Saccharomyces cerevisiae S288C: one gene and its partners. Changing the gene in region 1 together with any one later gene gives a genetic interaction. Each region holds a gene or a part of one and is shown in the gene's direction. Other genes may lie near its edges.

Region 1 (4,819 bases):
CTTTGTTACTGTCTTAGACATGCTCCTGCCTGAGGGAGCTACTGATCATTATTTCACTGATTTGGTTGGCCTTGTTTCCACGTCGCATGCAGAACGTGACCATTTCTTTATAAGACCAAGATTCCCAATCTTTGGAGGTTGGAACTACAATTTTACTGTCGGTTGGACTAATAAATTGTCCGATTTCTTGCATGTATCCTCTGGCTCAGACGAGAAATTCGTTGCTTCTATCCCAATTCTAAACGGCCCACCGGACACTGTATATGATAATGTTGAATTATCGGTATTTCTTCCGGAAGGGGCCGAAATATTCGATATTGATTCTCCAGTCCCTTTTACAAATGTTTCTATAGAAACCCAGAAATCATACTTTGACCTAAATAAAGGTCACGTTAAATTAACTTTCAGTTACAGAAATTTGATTAGTCAAGTTGCCAATGGCCAAGTCTTGATAAAGTACGACTACCCGAAAAGCTCTTTTTTCAAGAAGCCTCTGTCTATTGCTTGCTATATTTTCACCGCACTAATGGGAGTTTTTGTCTTAAAAACTTTGAACATGAACGTAACTAACTGAGTTCACGTTTGAATGATATATACCTTATGATGCAGAGCAATAAATTCAGTATTTAATTTTTTATAAGTTTTATAGATAAGAATTTTCCAATGAATAAAGGTATTTACAATCATTTCCTAGACATTCTCGTGGTCTTTTCTTTGCACAATCAATGGTCATAGTTTTTTTTGTTTAGTAGTTTAAGGACAGAAGAATAACAAAGATGTTCACGTTTTGAATGTTACCAGACATTCTCAGATTCATCCTTTAACCTAGCGACGCGCACAGGCTCCCAATCCTCTTCAGAAAGACCTTGTAAACGATAATATTCTTCTTTAATATCAAATTCCCTTTGATTCTTCCTTATTTTCAAGATATCCTCTTCATTAATTTCCTGAACTTTACGATCGCCTTGCTCGTACTTGATCGCTGTAAAGCTTGACAACCAAAACGAACCCAATACTATTGTTGCACAAAATGGTAAACCAAAAAAAAGAAAGGGGTGCTTACTCAATGCTTTTTTGTATCGCCCCGCTAAAGATGCTTCATATACTAGCTGCTGTCTTCTAGACCTAAATTTTTTTCCGCTGAACGACATTTAGGAGACAAATTCTGGTAATATTTCAGTTGTTGACTAATATATATAGTGGTTTTTGCCAAAATTAAAGACTTCCTTTTATTAACTAGGTGACCAGATATAAGGAAGTGTATTTGCTTTCTAATAACTTGTGTACGGCCATAACCCGGCTTTTAATCAGTTTATTTAACAAGGTATACAAATCGCCAAACGTAACAAGAGATAGGCGCTATTATTCATTTAATATTGTCGTATTCAAAATACTAACGGTGAACAATTTGCTCCATTGTAACACTATAGGACAAGGCTAATCATGAATAAATATCTCCCCACCCAAAATATTCGTAGCTCGCGATATTCACGGTAATATTCTGTAACTTCATGTTAAGAGATGATCTTTAGGAAGGCTAAGGAAGGGTACACATAGAAGTGAGATAAAAAATAGGCATTTGAATTACTGTAACATGGTTTCGATAAGAAGGTATTTGCGAGTGCCGAATGAGTTGAAACCTTCCCAGATCTTCAAACAAGATTCTCTCTCTCCAAGTAAGATTGGACTTCAAATTGTTCTTTTACAGATTTTTTATTACACCACAGCGATCGTTCTTTTTTATTGTTGGGCGAAGCTAGCGGGATATGATCTCAATATCAAGGAATGGCTGTTTTCTTGGGAGAATATCGACTTTACGAACGCATACGGTTTATCAATCTCACTGTTATGGCTTCTGGATTCATTAATATGTGTTTTTTTCTTAACTGTTATCGTTGGACGGAGTAAACTCGCATGGGATTTTGCTATCACTATACATGCCATCAATTTTATTGTGGTGTTCCTCTATACTCGGAAATTTCCTTCTTTTTCTTGGTTTTTTCTTCAAATTTTATCATCTTTAATACTAATATTTTTGGGGACATGGACAACAAGATGGAGAGAGCTTAGAGACACCTTTTTTGAGGGCTTGGTTGATCCTAATGAAGGAGAAGTTGGATTGGTTACGCCTAGTCAGCAGCATAGTAATCATTCAGAATTGGAGCAATCACCAATACAACTAAAAGACTTAGAAAGCCAAATATGAGAGGAGATGAAACAACATATTCGAGGCAATTTTGGCAATATTATAGTCATTCAAGAGAAAACAGTAAATGTATGAAAAATGGCAAGAACCTTATCTCTATAGGCTTAATAAATCTGCCTTTTTGGCCAATTTTTCAAAACAGATCCTATTTCTTATTTATACACAATCTATATTTAACATAATTAAGTACGTGATGACATTGAAGATAATAATAAGTAAAGAGTTTACGTACTTAAATTTTATATAGTTTTAGTATACTTGCAATGTGTGAATGGATCTAGTAAGCTGAGGTACTTCTCTAGCGTGAATATGAAACGAGTAACAGGGTGGTACATAATTTACGAACAGAACTCAAGTTGATAAATCCTTTGCGTTCTTAACCATTTGTAAAAGTTCGTCAACAACATTGAAAATATTGCTTCGAGCAGATGTTTTATCGTTTCTGCAAATTTCCAGTCCTGAACACCTCTGTTGTCGTAAATGTAATAATGCCACACTGGATTCGATTCTAGTAATTACATGATCAAAAAATAACAACGCATCCTTCTCAGAAATCGATTGCATAATACCATTTTCAACTTTAGGGTTAAATTTAATATAACTTCCCTCCGTCCGAGAGTCTAGTTCAATAAATCCGCCGCTTAAAGCTGACATTATAGATTCCAGTCTGTTTGAAATGACTCTTAAACGAAACAACATCGTTTCATTGATTAATTTTGACTGCTCATCTTCAGATGCAAATTCGTGTCTGGAAGCAAGAATCTTAGGATACGCAATAGTAACGAGTTCTTTGGTTTCGAGTCCCTTTAGCTTATGCTCGCCAAAGTCAAAAAATGCCCAACCAATACTTTCCAGCATGGCAATTTCTCTTTCAAGAACCTCTCCGATAATTTCTTCACCATAAACTTCCTTGAGAGATTCCTTGCCCTTCACTACTCGCTCATGATACTTCATTATCTTGTTGAATTCAGAGTAAAAATCACTACTCATTGCAATCTGACCACCGTCAGCGACGCCCTGGACCCTTGCTGCCTTATTGACCATCGGCCCCAAATAGTCCATTCTTTGAGTCACTAAATCAAGCTCTGGAACTGGGCAGCCCCAATGAATACCCATTCTAACTGATAGGCCTTGATAGATAATGTTACCATTTCTATCCGTAACTTGGCAGCCGTCTTGAACTGAGGTAATTTCCTCCGGCCATTGTGCATCCAAGAGTTTTAATTGAACACTTAAGCACCATGTCAGACCACTAGTTGGCGTAGGAAATGCCACCATAAAGGCGTCTCCTTCTGTCTTTACTTCGTAACCACCGTAAATTCGTAGTTGACGACGCATAATGTCATTGTGAGTTTTTATTGCGGTCCTCATTGCGTTAGGGAATAGCTCCCATAAGAAGGTTGAGCTTTTGATATCAGTGAAGACCATTGCTAGGTTACCTGTTGGCGGAGAAATCTCAGGTTGAAGTCTTCTTAATGTAGTATCCTCGAAAGTACTTCTTCTAGTCATTAAAGAGTTTTTATTTAAAGTGAACCGATTTTGTTGCTGAATGTTCTCGTAAAGAGCAAGGCACAAAATTGTAATATTCTCTGTACAGCCGTAAGCCATGGCATGATCCTTCAACTCAGCTGCGGCACGGAGTGGATCAGTACTATTCTCACGCGCGATATCACAAACTGTATCCACGTCCATGTATTCCCATAACTTATGCGTTGCTACAATAAGCATCTCGTCTGCTTTTGTTAATGTCACGACAGATATGTCGGGAGAAGCATGAATGTGGGGAAGCAAATCAAAAAAACCCACTGCTCTAGACACATCTACAACACCATCTAATTTTCCATTGTTGACATACCCGCCAGATATTCTGATCCTCTCGTATTCTTCCCGCTTTGTTGGGAGATGTTGTTTGGTTAGCGTTTGGTAGTCACCATTGTTTTTGGATAAAATAGCCATACAGTCACCTAAATTTGCAGCGAAGAGTTTCTTCCCTCTGATATATATCACAGTAGAGCAAGCGCCACTTAGCAAGTCTGCATATGAAAGATTGGCAACATCGGCACCATTATCAACAGAATTTAGCATTCCGTTAATCTCCTTATTCAGTTGCAAAAAACTGAAACGAAGTGCAGTTTTTATATTATCATCTGTTTCGTCTCCATACCTTTCCAGTTGTCTGATCAGTATTTTATCGTAAATATCTCTAACAATTCTTGATATATTGTGGCCATAATCTGCATTTTGGTTTTTACTATCATGAAGACATAGTAAGCATTCGTCGTCATTTCCGCGGAATCTTTCAAAGGTAACATCACGAGATGACACATAGTCTCTTTGACCTAATGTATCAGCAACACCGTAGCGCATCCCATTTATTATTGATGCAGTTGTCCTTAAACGGAAATTGACATTTTCATCCGGTACTTTGGTAGTATTTAAAGTTACGTCCATTAAACCTAGTACCTTTAACTGAGGTAATACTGTCAGATCTGACAAATCAGCATCAATATCGTGACTTATAAATGACTTTATTTCAAACCTTCGATTTCCTGAAAAATTCAAATATTTTAGTTCTTTATTATTCCTCCAGTTCCAATCGTAATGATAGTTTGA
Region 2 (6,056 bases), on another chromosome or scaffold:
CTCCACTTTGAAGATCAAAACTCCACCGGCAACAAAAGTGTCTATCGACAAAATAGCCACGGATTCAGTGACCATTCATTGGGAGAACGAACCTGTAAAAGCGGAGGACAATGGCAGTGCGGATAGAAACTTCATTTCCCACTATTTGTTGTATCTGAATAACACACAATTGGCTATCTTCCCAAACAACCCAAACTCCCTTTACACATGCTGCTCCATCACGGGTCTCGAGGCGGAGACGCAGTACCAGTTAGATTTTATAACGATTAACAACAAGGGCTTTATCAATAAGCTACCCTCCATTTACTGTATGACGAAGGCGAGAGAGGCGAATGAAGCGTTAAAGACTAGAAAATGGAGAAGAAACACCATCACATCGTCCACAGCTATGCAGCCCAGAAACTCCAAGTCCGAACCCGCCCCGTTGCCCTCTCACTACTCCTCTGTTTCCCTGTCTACTTTCTCATCCAATATTACTAATAGCGCCACCAGCAATAATGGTTCAAATCTACCCGCTTACACATCTTTGACTACGTTGAAGGATTTGGATTCGTTTTCCATCGATGATCTGAAAAAGATACTGATTTGCGCCCAGGAGGACTTACACGATGTGTTGTCCCAACAAACTTCGCTTTTGCAAGATTTTCAAGAATCGAAGTTAGAATTAGAACTAGAACTGGATAACTTGAAAACACATTGGTCGCACGAAATTGACTTGCGGAAATCCTTGAAATCCAATATCAAGTCATTGGAGAATTCTAAACTATTGACCGATTTGAAAATCGAAAAATTGAACAAGAAAATCGACAAATCCAAGGAAAAAATATCGAAAATGCGCAATGATATGCAGAAATGGTCTCAGGAAGATACCGAGCTGTTGTCTAAGGATACCATAAAGGAGAAATATTTCAAATTGCTAAATGAATCCAATGCCTCTGTGGCCAATATCAACAAAGAAATTGAGTCTTTACAAAATGAAATTTCCAAGATGGAGGAGTCTAACAAGAGATTGAACGCCTCCAAAAAATCATTGATTACTTCCATAGTGGTGAATGCCAATGTGGAAAACGATAAACCTATTGCTAGCGGAGAATTGTCGGCTGTTTTGAAGAAGCTCAATGATTTTACTTTAGAAAAAAATGGATTTTTAAGTAATGCTGGTGAAGAGTTTCTATCCAAATTGAATGCAGACTCATCATTGATTAAAATGATTAAGCAAGAGCTAAGCATTGATCAAGAATTGGAGGCCAACTGGAAATTGCAGAGGTCAAATTTGTTGAAGAAAATTAGTGCTTTAGAAAACCAATTTAATGAAATGAGCCTTAATAATCGGAATTTGAAAACAAAATTAATGGTTCAACCATATAAGAATAACGGTGATTCGCTTGCTGCCACCAATTCGAATAATTCCGCGGAAAAAAACAGAAGTTCTGGATCGATTCAATTACCATTATCCAACAACATGTCAAGAACGGGGTCCATTGATTTAATATCGAATAATAACAAAAGTATTAACAACAGTAATGCTGATTCTGCTCCTCCGTTGAGGTTGCACAATCCAGTTTCGTACTCTCCTTCGAATGAACCCATACAACCTTCAAGCAGTCTATTGAGTCAATTGACACAGGACACCGATAATCGATCAATGCTCTCCAATCACATCTCATCGAACAACGAAAACAAGCAACAGCCTTCTTCATATTCACATGCTTTACCTACAACTGCTACTGCTAATGCAACAGCAACAGCAACAGCAACTAATGGTCACTCAAGGTCAAATTTATGGACCACCGCACAATTCGCTCAACCTTCGCATCAACAAGTATCTACAGAATTGGATCAAGCTTTTGAATACGATAATGCAAACCACTTAATCAGTGGTTTGCAAAATATGATCTACGACGAAACAGACTATCCTGATAACATAAGCAATTATTCCAAGGGTTTTACTACAGACGAACTTGACAATTACTGGACTAAGCAGCAACCCCAGGTGCGCAGCACAAATGAAAGTCTTTTCTCTACGACTGGAACACCTATGTCATCATATAAGGCTAACCCAGTAATATCTCCATATTCTAGTTCTCATTTGCGACAAACCTCCAACGCAACCAATACGAATCCTATGCATCCACAGAGTCTACTCGCCGCTACATTGAATGATCCTTCATTACAAAGTTTTGTACGCAGTGGTTCTTTCTACAGTGCTCCGCAACCTGCAAACTCCTTACAGAACAATATCAATGGCAATGAAACCGAGAACATTAGTCCAAGGATATCAAGTGACTTCAATTTATTGGTGCCAAACTTGAGCCCACGACTCTCAAACGATGTGCCCATTGTTCCAGGCAATAACACTACTTTAACACCTTCACACTCGAACATATTAACAATGAACCATCAACCAACGGCGGATAACATTACACGAAGATCTTTCCATGCCTCTTCACCACCTTTCAACTCCATATGGAATTCAAATACAAATCAACTTTCTCCTCCATTGGAGGAGCAGTATCACCTCGATGTGCCTGTGGGTCCAAAGGTTCCCGCTAAAGAACCAAGCCCTAAGCCTTCTCACAAGAGGAACCAAAGTAACAGCAGCATTTCTTCTGCATGGTCCAAGTTTAAGCACAAGTCTGCATCATCACCTGCTAATGCGGACACGGATATTCAAGATTCATCAACTCCATCAACTAGTCCAAGCGGTAGAAGAATGTCAAAACTGTTGTCCAAGAGCGGTATGAATAATCTATTTAACCCGCACAGTCACGACTCATGAACAATATTATAATACTTCCAGGTCGTGTATATATGTAGATATATAAATTATGAAACATAATATATGAAAGCAGTTTGAGCTTATTCTTAATCATCAATAGGGTAACGGTATTAATCTCATTTTTTCTTTTTTTTTTTCTTTTTATTTTGGCGTCTCGTCTCAATTTCATTTTTCCCATCTTTTTACAACTTCAATATGAAAAACATAACACATGAAAAATAACTGTCAACATTAATAATATTCCTTGCATAGTGCTTCGATTTTCCAAATATAAAAACAGTTTCTTTTACAAGCTTATTTAATTTTGGTTTTAAGGAGAAAGCACTAATAAAAAGGGCAAGGACTGCAATCAACAATCTTTATTGGCGAACAGTTAAGGGTCCTCTCGAGAAGAAACATTAAGACATCATCGCACAAAAAACATGGCGCCCATCTTTAGAAATTACCGGTTCGCTATCGGTGCTTTTGCCGTTATTATGCTCATTTTGTTGATTAAAACATCTTCCATCGGTCCACCTTCTATTGCACGTACAGTTACTCCTAATGCTAGTATTCCCAAAACTCCGGAGGACATCTCTATCTTGCCCGTCAATGATGAACCAGGTTACCTTCAAGATTCGAAGACTGAACAAAACTATCCTGAGCTTGCCGATGCTGTGAAGTCACAAACAAGTCAAACATGCAGCGAAGAACATAAGTATGTTATCATGATCGATGCCGGCTCTACCGGTTCCCGAGTACATATATACAAGTTTGACGTCTGTACTTCCCCACCTACATTACTTGATGAAAAATTCGACATGTTAGAGCCTGGTTTATCTTCTTTCGATACCGATTCCGTTGGTGCCGCTAACTCCCTTGACCCATTACTGAAAGTAGCAATGAACTATGTCCCTATTAAGGCAAGAAGTTGTACTCCCGTTGCGGTGAAAGCTACTGCAGGCCTAAGACTCTTGGGTGATGCCAAATCTTCAAAAATTTTGAGCGCTGTAAGGGATCATTTGGAGAAGGACTATCCTTTCCCAGTTGTCGAAGGTGATGGTGTTTCCATCATGGGCGGTGATGAAGAAGGTGTCTTCGCCTGGATTACTACAAACTACCTATTAGGTAATATCGGTGCTAATGGCCCCAAGTTACCTACTGCTGCCGTTTTTGACTTAGGCGGAGGGTCTACACAAATTGTTTTTGAGCCTACTTTCCCAATAAATGAAAAAATGGTCGATGGTGAGCATAAATTTGATTTGAAGTTTGGTGATGAAAATTACACCTTGTACCAATTTTCTCATCTAGGTTACGGTTTGAAGGAAGGAAGAAATAAAGTTAACTCTGTTCTTGTGGAAAATGCATTAAAAGACGGCAAAATATTGAAGGGTGATAACACTAAGACTCATCAATTGTCATCTCCATGCCTACCGCCTAAAGTTAATGCCACAAATGAAAAGGTTACATTAGAATCCAAGGAAACTTATACCATTGACTTTATAGGGCCGGACGAGCCAAGTGGTGCACAATGTAGATTTCTGACTGATGAAATTTTGAATAAAGATGCTCAGTGCCAGTCTCCACCATGCTCTTTCAATGGGGTTCACCAACCTTCTTTAGTTCGTACATTCAAAGAATCGAACGATATCTATATTTTCTCTTATTTCTACGACAGAACCCGTCCATTGGGTATGCCCTTGTCCTTTACTTTGAATGAATTGAACGATTTGGCAAGAATAGTGTGTAAAGGCGAAGAAACTTGGAATAGTGTCTTCAGTGGCATTGCGGGGTCCCTAGATGAATTGGAAAGTGACTCGCACTTCTGTTTGGACTTATCTTTTCAAGTGTCCTTATTACATACGGGATATGACATTCCATTACAAAGAGAATTGAGAACTGGAAAGAAAATTGCCAATAAAGAAATCGGTTGGTGTTTAGGTGCGTCATTACCATTGTTGAAAGCTGATAACTGGAAATGTAAAATTCAATCAGCTTGAATAAGAACATGGACACCGCTTTTCGTCCCATGTATATTAAGGAAGAGGAGATTGCGGTGATATGTATTCTGTTATATGTCCTATTCTATAACCCTTGAACAATATGTAAACGATTTTTACGTTATGAAAATCACTATTATCCCCACAATAGTTTATTATAACACCGCCGCCAAGACAGGGGATTGAAAAGGCCTTCCGAGGTTTATCCATTTTTGGTAAAAGCCCGCCACGCCTTCAGGTGTTTGAGTATGAACTGGAAGAGTTATCTGTTAGGACCTCATAATCTTGAACATATGAGATAATTTAATATACTTTTGTTATGGATTGTTCCGTTGTTTTAAGACTATATGGCTTTGTTTTAGTTTTAGGGTGATTGTGGATATCACACCGGTCCTCAAGAAAATCGAAAACAAAAGGATAATCGGACTTATCTGGTGATCGAAGAAACTGCATTTCAGGTCGTTTAATAAACTGCTAGCTATTGATATTATATATATAAATAAACCTACAATCAGGTTAGTGTATTCATCTCACTTCTATAGCGTTGTGAAAGGGAAATGGAAATAGTGCAATCTCAATAAATCTGCTTACGTGACATTTTTTACTAAAAGAGAATATGAAAACTGATAGATTACTGATTAACGCTTCCCCGGAGACATGTACCAAGGGAGATGCTGAGATGGATACTATGGATACTATTGACAGAATGACATCAGTTAAAGTTTTAGCGGAAGGCAAGGTATTAAGCAACTTCGAAGAACCGGGCTTAATGAGGTGCGGTTATCATGATGCAAAAAACTGGGTCAGAAGATTATCGAGCGAAACAATTGTCGGTGAGGACACGAGTAATTTATACCCATTTTATGTTGATACTGCATACGATGTAAGGCGTTTGAGAAAGGATCTTATAAATGCTAAGGTTGACTTGCAGGTTGAAAACCTGATAATAATCTGCAATATTAATGATATTTCCACTGTATTTCTCATGAGAGAAGTGGTGGAATGGATCTTACGCAATTTCCATTCAATAACTGTATATGTACAAGATATTTTTAAAAAGTCAACTCAGTTTGCTGTTGGTGACCTCTGCAAAGACAGCAATTGCAGTAAAAACAGAGTAAAGTATTGGTCAAAAGAATTTGTTAAAAAACACGATTCATTCTTTGACTTGATGATTACACTAGGGGGTGATGGAACTGTCCTTTTTGCTTCATCTATATTCACGAAAGATGTTCCGCCGATTGTTCCATTTGCCCTTGGATCATTAGGATTTCTAACAAATTTTGAATTTCAAAATT
Region 3 (6,394 bases), on another chromosome or scaffold:
ATTTGGACCCAACACATGTTCGATCAAGTGCCTGGCAACGTGTTCATCAACAGCTGCCAAAGGATCATCAAGTAAATAAGTGTCAGCTCTCGCATAAACTGCTCTTGCTAAAGACAAACGAGCTTTTTGTCCTCCAGATAAGGAGATCCCTTTCTCGCCAACTAATGTCTTATCTCCATCCATCAAAATTGCAAGATCAATAGTTAACGCACAGGCCTTGATCGTTTTTTCGTAAAATTCCGCGTCGTATCTATGCCCAAATAAAATGTTTTCCTTTACAGTACCATTCATTATCCATGGAACTTGTGAAACATAAGCAACAGAACCATGAACGGTGGCGAAACCTTTAACCCTGAATAGATCACCTAACATGCATGACAATAGAGCTGTTTTACCACTGCCAACTTTACCAACAATACAGGTCAAATTTCCTTTTTTAGCTTGGAAATTAATATTCTTTAAGGCTACTTTGTATTCCGGTTTCCGTTGCCATAAAAAGGTAGCATCATCTCCAATGTTAATGGCTACATCGCCAATATTTTTTACTTTTGGTAAACGCTGAACCGAATCTGGTTGTAGCTCTTCATTGGTAAAGAATGTAAATAATCTACCAATAGAAACAGAAGCTTCGATAAAAGAATTTAAAACCATAGGAATAATCATTAGTGGGAATGAGAGCAGGTTGAACAGAGTCAAAGCAGGGAAAACTAAGTCAGTAGTCAATGCTCTATCCTCAGTATAAACAAATACAGCAAAGGTACAACATGAAACAAGGAATGGTACTATATTGAACTGAAAACTTGTCACAGCCATATAACATCCTAGTTTTGTAAGATTTTTTAACTCTTTGTTATTTCTTACTTCTTCTAGCTTTTCCCTATAAGGCTTCTCCCATGCATATAACTTCAAAGATTTAATATTGTTTAGTATTTCACTTATAACACGGGTCCTTTCATCTTTGTACTTCATCTGGGATTTTTGCAACTTCTTTTGTATCCTCATCAAAAATGAGTTCAATGGCATCATAATAACTAGTATAATCACGCCAACCCACATGGAATTTCCCAACAACTTATACAGAGAATATAAGCAAATAATGATTTGAAAAGGCCCTGACCATATTAAATTTAGCCATTGTGTTAAATCTTGTAATTTTTGAACATCCACACTCATGAGATTGACAATGTCACCGGTAGAGGAAAGTCCAGAAGCCTCATTAGATAGCACTAAGGATTTTTGATATATTAAAGCCGTTAGGGCGCTCTTAATATACATGCCTGTGTTGAAGACATTCAGGAAATATTGATGCAGGACAGATGTCTGAGTAAAGCCCACCAGAAACATAGCAAACGCAATCAAAAACCCTCTTACAATGGGTAATTTTTGTGGGTGGTTATTTTCAAACCCTTGAAGAGAAGAATGGTCATCCTGTCTCTCACTGTTATAGTCTGTGACGAACTTGATTAAAATCCTTAGTAGTTGTGGTTGAGTAAATGCTAGAACATCATGAATTGCTTTAAAGAATGCGGCTAAAAGCATTTTAGATCCAAAAGTTCTGCATATAGCCCATGATAATGAAGGATTTGATTTTTGCTTCAACTCATTTTCCCAGTTTTTCTCCAATTTTTGAGAGAGTTCTTCACTACTAAAGTTCCTCGGTAATTTATATAAATCTGCTTCCACTAAGTATTTTTCATAGCCAGTTTTCATCAAACCTGACATCCAAGAGAAGGTAATCCTGGAAAATATGTTTGCGCTATCGTATGGATTTGGTTTTCTTCTTGTTAAAGTTTGATGTATGTGTTGATGTGGCATTAGCGGCTTCTTTGGAAGAGCTTCAAGTAACAGGATACTGGCACATGTTATTACTTGGAATAACGTTAGTATGAAACCCGTTTGTCCGGAATACCAAATGCCTTCGTAGGTGTGTCTAATTAGAATATTTATTAGTTTAGCAAAATTACCGAATGTTTCAAAAAGCCAATAGAATAAAAGTACCGTATTGGCTACAACTGATCTATCGTATTCTATCCAGTGTAAGGCTAAAGCAACAAATAAAGATAACATTGTAGAAGCATATTGACTTACAATGGTAAAGTTTTCCGCTTCTTCTTTAGAAATATTTAAAGACGCAAGTGAAACAAACGCTATCTCCAACAGAACTAGTGCCATCCTAGAGACAATAATCCAATTCCGCCTATATTTGATGCCAGAGTGTTTTTTCTTGCAAAGGTTAACTAAATCTCTGATACCGAAGGTTATCATGAAAATTGCTGATAGATTTAGGATCACACCGTCGATGAAGCATTGAGTAAAGTCACCGTAAAAGGATATAGGTCCAAACCCTTCAGGAGATCTACAGAGCTTGCAGGCCCATGAAACAAGATTACCAGCCATTTTCTTGTTCTTTACGGTAGTACGATACCCCTAATTTATTCTCAAACTGTTAATTGAAAAATTGTAGGTTGTAAACCAGCTTCCACATAGCAGATGATCACAAGAGGTTATCGCACCTTTTATAGCAGCTGCTAACTTTTTTCATCAATTTCGTAATTACTAAGCCGTAACCTTCCACCGCCCAAGCATCACACCAGGAGTTACATATTTTTGTATTATCATAAAGAAACACACGCCAAGATATCTACAGAAACCAGATGTTAGCATTAGATATATATATTCGTATTGATGCAGCATAACAAGCGTACTATGGATTGCAAAGTAATGTAGATTCCTGACCAGTAGATCTGCTCGCGCAAGAGAAACATTCATGAACTCTAACGACAATAACAGTAAATCCACCTCACGGAGAACGATAAAAGTCTTCATTTCTCCATGAGGTGGAAACGTTGTTTGAATATTAAACATAATACTTGAACTTCTTGTGTAATTTTTATTTTTTAATCGAAGTCTACTCCGAAGTCTCCTATAAAGCGTAAGGCGCGTCTCCAAAGTGCTATTTTTCAAGATCAATTCAGCTTCAAAGAAGCTTTGATACCTACGGGGCAATGCAAAGGCTGCCAGTCGAAACAAACAGCGAAAGCTAGCCCATAATTTCTTGAGCTGTTGATTTTGATTGTGATATTTTTCATACTTTAGAAGAAGATATGCGTGCGCACAGAATCGATACATTTCTCATAAGAGAAAACATCAAACTGGAGATCATACATGAATCGAATTCCTATTTTGGTGGAGAACATATATCAATTGCTTTCCGATTTAAGCACCTAGGCTCACAGCATGAATTGTTCAACTATAAAGAAAAGCTTCTCACTGTCGATAAAGCTGTTGAAGAGAAGTTGGAACAACAAGCGAAAGTGCAAGATGATGGTGAAGGCACGATGGAAAATCAAACCTGGTCCCTAAAATCATTACTAGGTGCCTTCAAAAGAACAGGCGAACCTGAAGAGAGTGTGGATGTGGATAACATGAAAATGCTAAATGAGAGTAAGATGTTAAGAGAAAAAATACAGAAGCAAATGTATTTTCATCAACCTGTAACGTTAATATCCGGTTATGTTCAAATATCGGGGGTCTTTCAATACGATTCAGAGGTAATTTCAGAGTCAAAATTTAAACAAGATGAAGTAAAAATGGTAGGACTAGATATTGTACCTGGACATACGACAAATTCTGTTCTTGCATTGGAAGATGGAGAACATTTCAAAGGTAAAAGAAATTTAACCAACTACCTCAACTCAGATTATACAAATGTGACCAATGGTCTTCTTTTCTCAGAAAGCGGTTCTAGGGGAAGAACAGGTACCTATAACGAACGGACCTTAATGATATCAAACGATACCAGTATAAAAACATTACCTCTTCTTTTAATACCACAGACGCTTTTATTTTCTGAAATTTCTTTAGAACCAGGTGAAGTAAGAACATTCTATTTTAAATCCACAAAGCTGCCAAAAGATATATGCCCAAGTTATTCATCGTCAAAAGTGGCATCAATAAATTACACGCTGGAGGTTGGTGCGGATGTACTTTCTGATGATAATATCGAGAAATTTTCAAATAGAGTCCCAATAACAATAGCACCATATATTAGTTCGAATGCCGAACAGTACACATCACGTCTGGATAAGCCTGCTATCATATTAAAGACAGGTAACATAAAGGAACTAAAGCCACGTTTGTTTACTCGAAAAGTTTCTACGGCTTCTGCTGTATCATTTGGTAGGAGAAAATCTTCTATAATTGACATTGATTCTCCATTAGAAGATAATGAATTTGTCAAGCGTGTCAAAAAAAACTTCATTGAACTGGTGGAATCTAACCAAAATGTGTCAAGAGATATAGACGAACTTATTGACTTGCAAATGGGGGTACAGTTCGGAAAGGATGAGGATTCTTCGGATCCTGAACCCAACGACTCACACTTTTCGAACGAAATGGTGACGTCTGCAGAGTCTAGCCTGAGAAGCGATGCTGTAACTAAGAGGAGAAAAAGTTATTCGGTACGCGATAACATTTCTAACCTCGAGCAAAAGATGTGGAACGATTGTTCTCTCGTTAAGTCAGATGAGAATTCTAATCTTCTACCTCAGCTAATTAATTTACAGAACGCATATCAAATTAACAGAAATAATGAGACTATGGCAAAAGTATCCTTATCAGCACCTTTTTATAAGACAACTGATGATATAAATTTAGTCATTGAATTAGATCCGATAACGACGCCTTTACTTAAAGTGACTTCGTTGACTGTATCCTTAGAATCGTTTGAAATTATAAATCCAAAATATAAGACTGAAGGAAAAGGAATAGGGAGCAAACCAAAAGGAAACTCGGTGTATGAGAAACATTTTATTTGTTTCGATGAGTGCAAGTCCGTATCGGTGAAATTACTTCCTCCAAGATCGCCTACAAACCAGATTACCGGACAATTCAAGACAGATGTTTTTCAACATAAGTGGATGATAGGACTAAAATTTGTAATAATTGCAAAGACAGAAAGTATCACTTTGGATCAATTTTATGAGGATAAAAAGGGCATCCTATTCCATTCAAAAGAGAATTTAGAAGGTGAAGAGTTTACATGTTACGTTCCCATTCCAATACTGTGTACATCCGAAGATTTCATGGGATGGTAAGCAATAAATGGGTGCAGTTTACTCGTATAATTGGTTTTGCATTTGAATCCAATCCAGTAAAGAGGATTTACTATACTCTCTTCATAAAGGGTATGTACAGATACATTTATAAGTTAGTTAACCGGCTTTATTGTCGTAATAGTCATCTCTTGATGTCATGGGTTGCTGTCCGTGCGATTTCAAGACTGCTCATTTCGCACGATGCATATTGCTTCTCTAATGACATTTTTCGTTAGAATGATCAGGTTTTTGCCATAGCTTGATCAGTAAATTAATAGATGATTTTAACAATTCAAGAGGCATTAAAACTTGGGCAAAGGAGTAATAATGTCTAATACCGAGGAATTGATCCAAAACTCAATAGGTTTTCTCCAGAAAACTTTTAAAGCACTCCCAGTTTCGTTTGACTCCATTCGACATGAACCACTTCCATCTTCAATGTTGCATGCAAGTGTTCTCAATTTTGAATGGGAACCGCTCGAAAAAAATATTTCGGCAATTCATGATAGAGATTCTTTGATTGACATTATACTTAAAAGATTCATTATAGATTCAATGACAAATGCTATTGAAGACGAAGAAGAAAATAATCTTGAAAAAGGGTTACTAAATTCGTGTATAGGTCTCGATTTTGTGTATAACTCAAGATTTAATAGATCTAATCCAGCTAGCTGGGGAAATACCTTTTTCGAGTTATTTTCCACCATCATTGATTTGCTAAACTCACCATCTACGTTTTTGAAGTTTTGGCCCTATGCTGAATCACGTATCGAATGGTTCAAAATGAATACATCTGTTGAGCCAGTATCATTGGGGGAGAGCAATTTGATTAGTTACAAACAGCCTTTATACGAAAAGCTGCGCCACTGGAACGATATTTTAGCTAAATTAGAGAATAATGACATCCTTAATACCGTCAAACATTATAATATGAAATACAAACTAGAGAACTTTTTATCCGAGCTACTACCTATAAATGAAGAATCGAACTTCAATAGATCCGCTTCTATTTCAGCTTTACAAGAATCTGATAACGAATGGAACAGATCAGCACGTGAACGAGAAAGCAACCGCAGTTCCGACGTTATATTTGCTGCAGATTATAACTTCGTGTTTTATCATCTAATTATTTGCCCGATCGAATTTGCTTTTAGCGATTTAGAATATAAAAATGATGTGGACAGATCATTAAGTCCCCTTCTTGATGCAATCTTGGAAATCGAAGAGAACTTTTACAGCAAAATCAAGATGAACAATAGGACTAGATATTCCTTAGAGGAAGCTCTGAACACTGAGTA

Evidence for each region. A genetic interaction does not mean that the proteins touch.
Region 2: mutations in SYS1 (region 1) and GDA1 together harm fitness more than expected from each alone (negative genetic interaction), as found in Saccharomyces cerevisiae (4 studies listed by BioGRID).
Region 3: mutations in SYS1 (region 1) and RGP1 together harm fitness more than expected from each alone (negative genetic interaction), as found in Saccharomyces cerevisiae (4 studies listed by BioGRID).

Annotation. Positions count from the first base shown.
Region 1 is NC_001142.9:428,976-433,794, reverse strand, and holds SYS1 (Sys1p), read left to right. Parts: upstream 1-1,594; coding exon 1,595-2,206; downstream 2,207-4,819. Other genes in the region: dolichyl-diphosphooligosaccharide--protein glycotransferase subunit OST1, read left to right, coding at 1-574; COX16 (Cox16p), read right to left, coding at 795-1,151; CYR1 (adenylate cyclase), read right to left, coding at 2,558-4,819. UniProt on the Saccharomyces cerevisiae protein: Necessary for the targeting of ARL3 to the Golgi. Involved in protein trafficking. May serve as a receptor for acetylated ARL3.
Region 2 is NC_001137.3:70,570-76,625, forward strand, and holds GDA1 (guanosine diphosphatase), read left to right. Parts: upstream 1-3,201; coding exon 3,202-4,758; downstream 4,759-6,056. Other genes in the region: GTA1 (Gta1p), read left to right, coding at 1-2,779; YEF1 (NADH/NAD(+) kinase), read left to right, coding at 5,375-6,056. UniProt on the Saccharomyces cerevisiae protein: After transfer of sugars to endogenous macromolecular acceptors, the enzyme converts nucleoside diphosphates to nucleoside monophosphates which in turn exit the Golgi lumen in a coupled antiporter reaction, allowing entry of additional nucleotide sugar from the cytosol.
Region 3 is NC_001136.10:725,155-731,548, forward strand, and holds RGP1 (Rgp1p), read left to right. Parts: upstream 1-3,104; coding exon 3,105-5,096; downstream 5,097-6,394. Other genes in the region: ATP-binding cassette glutathione S-conjugate transporter YCF1, read right to left, coding at 1-2,397; HPR1 (Hpr1p), read left to right, coding at 5,424-6,394. UniProt on the Saccharomyces cerevisiae protein: The RIC1-RGP1 complex acts as a guanine nucleotide exchange factor (GEF), which activates YPT6 by exchanging bound GDP for free GTP. It is thereby required for efficient fusion of endosome-derived vesicles with the Golgi.